Caenorhabditis elegans: one gene and its partner. The protein of the gene in region 2 interacts with the protein of the main gene of each other region in a pairwise test. Each region holds a gene or a part of one and is shown on either strand. Other genes may lie near its edges. The genes, in order: zen-4 and ari-1.2.

The links.
Region 1: the proteins of ari-1.2 (region 2) and zen-4 interact in a two-hybrid assay, tested with the Caenorhabditis elegans proteins (one large-scale study listed by BioGRID).

What each region holds. Positions count from the first base shown.
Region 1 is NC_003282.8:6,116,406-6,122,586, reverse strand, and holds zen-4 (Kinesin-like protein), read right to left. Parts: upstream 4,373-6,181; 5' UTR 4,364-4,372; coding exon 3,921-4,363; intron 3,875-3,920; coding exon 3,626-3,874; intron 3,584-3,625; coding exon 3,278-3,583; intron 3,224-3,277; coding exon 2,974-3,223; intron 2,922-2,973; coding exon 2,739-2,921; intron 2,694-2,738; coding exon 1,971-2,693; intron 1,915-1,970; coding exon 1,828-1,914; coding exon of another isoform or gene 1,744-1,827; exon of another isoform or gene 1,688-1,743; coding exon 1,565-1,687; 3' UTR 1,490-1,564; exon of another isoform or gene 1,244-1,489; coding exon of another isoform or gene 1,151-1,243; 3' UTR 810-1,150; downstream 1-809. Other genes in the region: M03D4.4 (C2H2-type domain-containing protein), read left to right, coding at 363-467.
Region 2 is NC_003279.8:6,055,351-6,059,998, forward strand, and holds ari-1.2 (RBR-type E3 ubiquitin transferase), read right to left. Parts: upstream 3,075-4,648; 5' UTR 2,959-3,074; intron 2,908-2,958; 5' UTR 2,880-2,907; coding exon 2,811-2,879; intron 2,767-2,810; coding exon 2,674-2,766; intron 2,626-2,673; coding exon 2,233-2,625; intron 2,190-2,232; coding exon 2,064-2,189; intron 2,013-2,063; coding exon 1,699-2,012; intron 1,648-1,698; coding exon 1,521-1,647; intron 1,472-1,520; coding exon 1,199-1,471; intron 1,153-1,198; coding exon 1,054-1,152; 3' UTR 781-1,053; downstream 1-780. Other genes in the region: ari-1.3 (RBR-type E3 ubiquitin transferase), read right to left, coding at 1-221, 268-348, 405-470; E3 ubiquitin-protein ligase ari-1.1, read right to left, coding at 3,503-3,601, 3,678-3,950, 4,001-4,441, 4,487-4,612.

The DNA of each region.
Region 1 (6,181 bases), on a different chromosome or scaffold from region 2:
TTCATTTGTTTTAAAAAGTTCGTTATTCTGGGTTTACGGGAAAATAGCCAACGAGACCCATCGTTTGGGGGGATTAGCGGTTGAGCGCGTTTACACGTCGATTTCAAAAATGGATGTTTTCTGCGTCTCAATAATATATTTAAAACGTTCCCAGAATTTTTTTAACCGACCAAACTTCTGGAAAATCTTTAAAATAGTCCGACAAATTATTGTCTTGCAAACTTTTGCAAAGAAATTAAACTGGAGAGAAGAAAGTTAATAGCAATTTTTGAAAAAAACGGTGCGGCACGCTTGCAAATTTCATGCCAGACTTGCGGAAAATATTTCAAAATTTCCACTGTTTCAACGAATGTATATTTCAGATCATCGCAAATGTTTCCAATTTCTTGACAAATACAGCAACACCGGATAATATGTTCATGATGAATGCAGTAAATGTATTCACTCATCTTAAAAATACTCTCTAGGCAATTAATTTTCACCGATTTTCTTTTTTTTTTCTCATATTTCTCTCACCACGTGGTTTCTGATCTTGTCTCTCGCCTGGCTTTTCCCAATTTAACTTTAATTTTAAAAAATTAAATCTCTCTGATAATCAATATTTCTGACCTCTTTTTCATGATAATCCCTTTTTATTTTTCGATTGAATTATTTTTTGAAATACCAACCAAAAAATCAAAAAACGCGTATTAAATCATAATTATTTGTATAAAACCGTGCCTTTTTCCCACCATTTTCTATGTAACCCTCGACCTAAATCGGGTCTTATTTATTGAGATTCATTTTTTTGAACGAAAATAAAAGCTAACTTATTTTCATATTTTATATTCTTTGAGTTTAATTAAAATTAAAATACAAAAGCATTTACTAGTACACAAATCATCGTCGGGAATAAAAATGAACAGAGTTCTTCAGATCGATATCAAAAAATTGTGCGTAGAAGGAGAAAAAGACGAAGAAGTGAAAGATCATAAAAATGCGGTGAGGTCTACAAAAAAACAAGAGTTCTCTTCGAGTTCGGAAAATGGGATTATGAATGAGAAACATAATAAATTAATAAATATTTGGAGAAAATTTGAAGAGTATGGTACAAATTTGACATGAAAATGCAGCAGGATGGAGGTAAAAAGATCAAAGACGGCACTTATAATTACTTTCGTGTGCTCGGAGATTCGTGAGTGAGTCTCTCGATATCGTTGAAGAACACGGCAGTGCCACCGGAAACTGTTGGAATTACATTTCCCTGAAAAATTCGAGATGAGCAACAGATGAGAAAGTGGAACACAAAAATAAATGTATTTTTAAAGTTATATGACCTAAAACATTACATGAAAAACTGAAATTAAATGCATATAGAACTAGCACTAAATTAGTTAATTTTAAGCATGAAATTTTAACTCAAAAAGTATATATCAAGCAAATTCAGGCAGTTTTCTCAAGCACTACTAAAACAGTATCTAAAATAGCCAATAAACAATCAAAAACATACAACAAACACATAAAAATGTAAAAAGAGCAGCTTCATCTTCTCATTCCCCCAGCAAACATTCATTTCAAATAATTCTCATTCATCTTCTTCTTCAACATCATGATTAGAGTATATCGTTATCGATTTTACATCCGTACACGGTGAATACGAACTGCTTTGCGAGTCTTCCAGTTGAAGTTCTGGTGGTTTAGATGGTGCCTGTTAGAATGCGTTACGTGTGTGCTTTGTGAGAAGAAAAGACGGACAGTTTTGTATCAGGAAAGATGGGTGATAAGGACACGGGAAAACGACAACGGGACGGTACAGGCGTGTTTTTGGGTGGAAACCAAGGAATTTACCTTCACTATATTCGTGCTAATGTTTCCTTCATCGTCAACTTCTTGATGCGTGAGACGGTATTCTCCGGATTTGTTCAACTGATGCATCTGGAAAACAATTGAATTACAATAAAATTGCGGAATTTATTAATGTTTTTTCCTACCTCAGGTTTAGTAGTCCGTATGGCGTTAGCCGGTGTACGAGACTGAAGAACCGTTCCTGTTGGAACTCGATGAAGTGGCTGATGATCCAATAGACGAGATGCAGACTTGGATCTTCTTTGATATTTTGGATTAACGTAACCCTGTTGACCACTTCCTCCACTTGAAGATCCAGACATTACAGTGGTCGATGTAGTGGCTTCTAACCGTTTTTTGAAGACTGGAGCACGTCCTGGAGTTTGATATGGCGGTGGTGGAGTTTGGATTGGAGCTGTTGGATGAGCCACATTCTCTTGATCAAATCGTGATCGAAGAGAAGCAACAGACGGGGATGGATTATCAATAATTCCACGAACATTTCTCATCGCCTTCTTCTGTGACTGAATAATCTTCCTGTCCTCCATTTTTTGTTCCATAAGCTTTTCCATAACCAGAGCATTCTCTTGCTCTCCTTGCTCACACGAGGCAATTCGTTCCTTCATCGAAGCGTTCTCACGCTTATATCTTGAGCAGAAACCTCGAAGCTTCTTGATTTCTTCATCCTTGTCGTTTAGAGAATCTTTGAGACGTGCAATCTCTACTCGCTGGTAGTCTGCTTCCATCATGTATTGGCGAATCATAGTAAGAAGAGTTGAAGATGGTCCCTCTTCTGATGAATTTTGAAGAGATGAAAGTTTCCGAGCATACTTATACATGGAATCTACCGTATCTTTGTCATTGCAATCCTGGAAACAATTTGTTCAAAACCATTCAATTTGTGAAATTCTTACTGTCAAACAGAATGTCGGTGGGCACGGAATTTCTCTACTTCCATCATCCTCCATACGAACAGATCCATCTAGCTCAGAATTCCATTGGGTGAAGAATGAATGAGGAATCCGCTCGGATGGCATTCGTTCAACTTGCTTTTTCACTTCAATTGTTTGTGATTCTTCAGCGAAAGCTAGAGCACTCTGAAAGTTACGAATTTAAATAATTAGTAAATTCTTTGAATTCTGAACGAACCATGTTTTCATCGTAATCATCAGGCTTTGGATTCACACAAATAACCATTCTGATTTTTCCATTTCCTTCCAGATAGTTTTTGAATAAATGAGTCAATTTTGACTGGCGATATGGAACTTGCTCAAGGTTTTGTGAGGAACTCTTTTGGTTACGACGGAGTACTTCAATACACTGACGAAGAGTCATGAGGGACTGATTGATCGAGTTGGCTTCCGCAAGACGTTCACCAACATTCTGTGTGCGCTTTGCTCTAAAATTTTTCTCATTAAACATATATATTTCAGTTTACAACAAAAAAACAAACCTCTCAGATCCAGCCAAATCTACCAAACATAACTGCGAAACGATAATTTGCGATGAGTCCATTGTTGGATACACGCTTTTCGTCTCGTAGGCTCTCGGAGCCATAACCAATTTGATAGTGAATACGGAATGAGAACGGGATGAATCTTTGTTGAGAAGAGTGGACGATACACGACGACGTTCTTCTCCAAGGCAGAACACTTCGAGAGCTTCCTCGCTTGACGAGACTTCAACATCTTTGGCTCCGTCGACGTACATCTGTTGCTGACGATCATGACGAATTTCACGCTTCGTCAATACTCTGGAACTAGCGGAGGGTCACTATCAATTATTGCTCGATTTTTCTTACCCATTTCTGGCGTCTTCCAACAAATCGTAGCAATAATTGTTGTAGATTTCGACGTAGGTTACGAAAACCGAGCAAACCATATCGTCGTTGTAGCCTGACAGCTTTATAGCTTCACAGTAACGATCAGTGATTTCGCGTGATGTGGAAAGACGGTCTGCAGCCATTTGATGGCGTTTCAAGTGAGCATCCAATGTGGCACGGATCTCGAATGTATTCAGTGCTGATGGATAGAAGATGCATTTCTCAACTCTGGAAGAAAATAATATTATTTGCTTTTTTCGTTTCAAAAGCTTACCGATTATTAATACTATTGAAAATTACATCCAATGTACGCGGCAGTAGTCCTGTGCCGGTTTCAGTGGGTTTTCCCGTCATTGTATACGTTTTTCCAGATCCAGTAACTCCATAAGTGAATAACAACGAATTCTGACCTTTCAATAGGTTTAAAATTAAATCAACAGATGTCCGCTCAAAAACAGTAGCTTGTCCATCATTTTCCGAAAAAACTCGTCCAAATCTAAACACTTTCTCAACTTGTGGAGCGTTTTCGCGTCTGAACTGTGCTGGTGGAAGAACAGTTTGAATAGATCCCTCATCAATTGCAATAAGACTTGGAGTCGAGCCAGTATATGGACAAAGACGACAAACGACTTCGATACTGTCGGTTTCTTCAATCGATAACTTCTTCCGGCGGACTTGGTCTCGCGATGGAGTTATTCCTCGTTTACGCGACGACATTTTCTGAAATGAATTGAATTAAATAAAACAAGTTTTGTTATATTGATTTACAAAAACGGTTTTATTCCAAAAAACCGTGAAAAAATAACAAATTTCGAAGAAAAATCAACAAAAACAAGTCAAAGCAAACATGTGAGAACGGTTAGAATTCAAACTGGCGGCGGAGGGGGAGGGTGCGCAGTGAGACCAGCCACGCAGATAAATCTATGCGCCTTTAATACCTATGTCTGCGTCTCTCACACAAGGCAGCGAGAGTGGTACTCTTGTAATATTGCGGTGGCACTCGCTAGCTCGCGTTTTGTCCGCCGCCACCGTGTGCTATGGGCCTTCCTTCAGTGCGGGGAGTTGAGACTGTAATGGGTTCCGAAAGGATGAAAATCCTCAAAGTTCCTGATGTGGCCGCATCAAAGCACAGGTCGGATATGATTGTAGTGAGATATAATAAAAATCATTTAAAGACATAAAAATAAACACATAATACATAGGAAGATTAATAAAAAACATACGAATAAGTTACAAACAAGGAAATTAATTATCATCTGTAAAAGTTGAGGTGCCAATATAAGATTCGTTTTGCTAATTTTTAATAGAACTTTATATTCTTTTTGTGAAAAAGTGTCTTCGTAGTTTGGTTTTGTATTTCCCCCAGATTAACTTGGTTTTGGTTCTGGTTTTGTAGTTTTTGTCTATTTTTAAAAATTGGTCAGTGTCAATGTCAACTTTGTGTACTCTATCTCTATCAATTTTTAAGAGCCAAATGTACACAATAAGTTCTGCTGATTTCATAGTGAATAAATTTCTAGAAAAAAAAAACATGATATACCACAGTGCCAGTAGCCCAACAGTACAAAGAAAACATGTGAAGTTCACTAGAATATTCTACATTTGTTTACTTCTAGAATTATAATACTATAAAAATTAATTTTCAAGTCGTAGTAAAAAATCATTAGTAAAAGATAAAACGTAGTAAAAGAGCCAATTGTAGTACAAGATCAAGTAGTAAAACAGTATTTGCCAAAAAATTCAAATAACAGAAAAAGGGCATCCTTGGTGTTCAATCCAAGCGAGCAATGAATTCGGAGCAGTTCTGAATTTGGAAAAAATGTGCCAATTTGTTGAAAAATAATTCTTTCCACAGCAATTTCGAAGTTTATTTTTTAAAACCGTCCTTAAAAATCTCAGTGTTTTCCATTTCAGACTCAAGATTCCGTTTCAGATAAATCACGTCATGACGTATCTGAAAAGAGAAGGGCGACACATTAAGATTCAAAAATCGTCTGAATTCTTGCACTCGCATTAAATTATTTATAAGCTTCTTATATCTCTGATCATCAATCAAATGGGGTTCCCAGGATTTTAATTCTTGATTCGTTTTTTTTTTGCGAGGAGCAATGAGTGGGCGCAGCCGAATCGGGGAAGCCAAATTGTTGAAGATGCTCCCCAAATTATGAAACGTTTAAACAGGATTAAACATTCTATTACGGGCACACTAAATTCTGAGAATGCGTATTGAGCAACATATCTTACGCGCAAAATGTCTTGTAGCGAAAACTACAGTAATTTTTTTAAATGTCGATTTACGGGCGGAAAGTTCGAAACAAATTTATTTTCGAATTGTGACAGCGATATTTAAACTTCCTCCAATTTTTCGTTGAGCGTCAAATGTGATGCGCAATACGCATTCTCAGAATTTAGTGTTCCCGTAATATTTTTTGTTTTCACCCTTCGTGGGAAAACTACAGAATATTCTCAATTTTCTCCAGAAATCACCACACTCCAAACACTTGGAAACTCACGAGGTGGTTAATTACTGATTCT
Region 2 (4,648 bases):
TCACCAGCTGGAATAACTTCTTGTTGACGTGGAATAACTTGTGCATCAATTAGAAAAGCAATTGTGTCGGGATGTTCGTAGAATCGTTCCAACAACGATTCTTTATTCCATTTGTATTTGTGTAGAAGAATCCGACAAACGCCGGTTTTCACTTGAAGAACTGCTTCTACTTCTGAAATTGCTTTCTTCATTTCAGCTTCCAATGAATCGTGGTCAAGCACCTGAAAACGGTTCAGTTGGAAAGAAAGTAATAAAACGTAACATTACCTCATTATCCTTGTCTTTTTTGTTCAGATAATCTGAAGCGGACTGATCATGGCGAGCGATTCCATCGTCATCGGAGAGGCACTGAAAATAAAATTTTAAATATTTAAATTAAATAATTAAATGACTGTTTGACTTACTTCATCATCCATATCGTCTTCGCTGGAAGCACTGCCTTCCATGTATATCTCGTCGTCTGAATTCATTCTGAAATTTTTAACGTTAGATTTTTTGAAGAAAGCATATTATAAGTTTTTCTAAAATTATTAAGTAAAAGAAAAATTAGCATAAAACTTTTTTTCAAGATAAAACTGAGCAATGACACCACAGTCCATTGCACTAATTCAAGTTTTCGGTTCAACTGGCAATTGAACCGGAAAATGAAGAGAATGAGATTTAAAGATGCGCAGTAGGTAATCGATGACTGCGAGAGCCTGCTGAGAGTGCCCAGCAGGCTGTAAAATAGACAATCGATAAATAACAATGACAGTATGAGAAAGTAAATATATTGTGAAATAATTCACATTTCATGATTTCAATTTCGCAATCACATTTGAAAATAAAATAAGATATGGAGTAGTGCAACCCAAATATAGTAGAAAGAAGCCGTTATTGTTTATGAAAATATATGAAATTATCGCGAGTTAATCCAAAAACAACATGATGTGGAACAACATGATATGGTTCAAAGAATTTCAGAGATTTGTGAATGTGGTGAGAATCCTGAGGAATATTGAGTTATTTTAGAAGCGAGAATATTATTAGCATTATTGCAATCATTATCAAATTTCACTCGTTGTACTGCCAAATGTCTTGTTCGGTGCCTTCGGCGCAATGGTCAAGGAGTACTTTGCGACGGTGTTCCACGTAGCGGAATGTGTCTTGGACCTGGAAAATAGAGTGTTTGCAAATTTATAAGATATTCTTTCAGTACCTTCTGCTTGAGAGTCAACAAGTCCTCATTTTCAAGATCTCGTTCCAACAATCCGGACAGTTGCTCGGTCTCCATTTCAAGATCCTTCTGATTTGACTCGAAGATCATTGAATTGTTGTCTCGCTTCAAATAAAACGCGAATATGTATGTGAACATCAACGTGTTACGGCATTCCGACAGCACGTCCACCGCTTTTCGTAGAAATTGAACATCAATCCAAGACATTGAGAGATTCTGCATTTGATCCATCTTCGCTTTAACTGTCTTGTTCAACTGGAATTCAATTTTTGATACAACATTTAAACTACGAATTATCGAATACCTTTCCCTCCAACCGCAAACTTTGTAAATGTCCCATGTAGCGATTGTAGTAAAAAAGATAACGTGTCAAATTTGCACGGTACAATTCTTGTGCAGTTCTGGCCGTTTGAGATGCTTCGTCGTCAAATCTAGAATGTTTTGAATTATTTCAATTATCTCAAAAATCGAGACCAACTCACTTGTTGCATTTATACCATGCGTTTGCATGAACAGTCCACGGCCCGAGGCACATCCAACAAAATTGAAACTTGCATCCAGTGTTCTTACAGGTAATCTGATTGCATCCACCGTTTTTCTCAATTGTCGCCATACACTTCGGGCATTCTTTTGTGTTTGAATTGATCCAATTCGATGTTTCACTGTCATCATTGCACTTTTTCATCCATAACTTCAGAAGCCGACAGTTTACTGGTTCATGCCAATCCTGGCCACAAGAGAAACAGAATCGAGATCCACAAGTGCACACGACAAGTCGAGGCTCGCCATGACTAACCTAGAAAATAGCCAAAATTTTATGGATTCCATTGAATTCAGAATGGTTTACCTTGACAGTTCTCCCACAATCAACCCCTGGACACCATTTCAGAAGCGCATTGATTTCTATGTAGCTGGCCACCATCATTTTACGGTACTTCGCAATTATAGTCGGATCTTTGATGTAGGCGAGTACCTGAAAATATTTAAAAGTATAATTTCAAGTTTATAAAATTTACCTTTTCATCTTCTATTAGCAGTTTACAATTTGGAGCCATACACTCTATCTCTGATTGAGCATCGCTTACGATTTTATTGGTCAAATATGCCTGCCAACATTCTGCACAAGCTCTATGATTACATGAAAGACCCGAAAGTTCATCCATGGAGCAGCAAATGTCACATTCTGCATCACCAGCTGGAATAACTTCTTGTTGACGTGGAATAACTTGTGCATCAATTAGAAAAGCAATTGTGTCGGGATGTTCGTATAATCGTTCCAGCAATGATTCTTTATTCCATTTATATTTGTGTAGAAGAATTCGGCAAACACCGGGATCAACTTGAAGAACTGCTTGAACATCAGCTATCGTCGTGTTCATTTCAGCCTCCAACAAGTCGTTGTCGAGGACCTAAAGAAATATTTATTATTTTCAGCTTCAAAACCGCGGTTAAATAACCTCATTCTCCGATTTTTTGTCTTCTTTGGCGTACGAAGTATCATTATCACTGGTGTCCAGCACGATTTCTTCATCTTCTTCTTCGGAAAAACACTGAAATTCGGTTTCTCTTTCCCCAAAAATTGAAAGCAACTCACGTCCGCTTCTCCAAATTCCTCTGGACTCGAACCTCCGTCTTCCGTGTTCATTTCAGCGTCAGAATTCATGCTGAATAGGGAAAAATGAGGAGATTATCTCAAAAAGATAAAATTAATAACAATATATCGCGAGGCAGTAGAGAGTGACCTGGCGCATTGAAAACAGCTGTGTGCTTGTACAGAAAAAAGACGCAGATAGTGAGGCAAACAAGAGTGCGTCGGCACGAGATACGAGAGGATAAAGTTCTGAGCACTTTTCGAAATCTAGCATATAATTCAAATCTCGGGTTTAATAAAAGTTATTTTTCGTTCCAGTTGAAGCACTTCGTCAAATAAGTATGGAAGAGAACCACGTTACATAACATGGCAATTTACAAAAAACAAAAAAATGTTCAAAAATTTATACTCAGAAAAAAAGGAATCCGTAGTCTAGAAAAGAGGATGTTTAGAATAGAGGAAAAGTGGGACTGGAAAATTCTACACAAAAATACACATAAATGTTTTAGGCCGAAAAGAAAAAAAACATCTGAGAGCACAAGGATTGTGATGGTAAATGACAGGAAATGAACATACAGACAAGTAGGGTAGACAGTTAAACTGATTGAAAGAATCGAATTTGGAAAAAATAATCTACAAAACAATAAAAAAATTTTACAAAAAGTATACTAATAATATGTTGGTCAAAAAAATAATTACTCGTTGAAAACCCAAAGTTCTTGATCAGCTCCTTCGGAACAATGGTCTAGAAGTACTTTTCGGCGATGTTCTACGTATCGGTACTTGTCTTGGACCTATAAATTTTTTAATTTGAACACTGCAATTAGAAAATTTATTTAAATTTTCGCTGATAAGAAATCAACAATTTACCTTTTGTTTAAGTGTCACCAGATTCTCATTGTCTAAATCTCGTTCCAAAAACCCGGACAGCTGTTCTGTTTCCATTTCGAGATCTTTTTGATTTGATTCAAAAATAATGGCGTTATTATCTCGCTTCAAATAAAATGCGAATGCATAAGTGAACATCAGTGTCCGACGGCATTCTGACAATACATCGACAGCTTTCCGAAGGAATTGAACTTCAATCCAAGACATGGAAAGTGTCTGCATTTGCTCCATTTTTGATTTGACGGTTGCATAGAGCTAAAAAATATTTGAATATTATTAAATGAATCTATTTAAATCTAACAAACCTTTCCCTCCAAACGTAAACTTTGTTGATGTCCCATATATCGATTATAATAGAAAAGATATCTTTGAAGATTTGCACGTGATACTTCTTGAGCATCCCGAGCATTTTTAGCTGCAGAATCATCAAATCTATTACAACTATACCATGATGAACCATGAGGTTCCCATGGACCAAGGCACATCCAACAAAATTCGAACCGGCATGCTGTATTTTTACACGTCATATGATTGCATCCACCGTCTTTTTCAATTGTGATCATACATTTTGGACATTCTTTAGTGTTTGCATTAATCCAATTCGATGTTTCACTATCATCATTGCACTTTTTAAGCCATAACTTCAGCAGCCTACAGTTCACTGGTTCATGCCAATCGTGACCACAAGAGAAGCAGAATCGAGATCCACAGGAGCATACGACGAGGCGGGGTTCCCAATGGCTGACCTGCAAATTTGATTGAAATCATTTTTTAACTGAAAATTCACTCACTCTAACAGCTTTCCCACAATCTATACCGGGGCACCACTTGAGAAGACGATTCGTTTCCACATAACTAGCCACAATCAGCTTTCTGTAGGTGGCAATTACTGTTGGGTCGGTAATGTAGAACATAACCTGAAAATTAAACTATTTTGAATTTAAATTTAACTT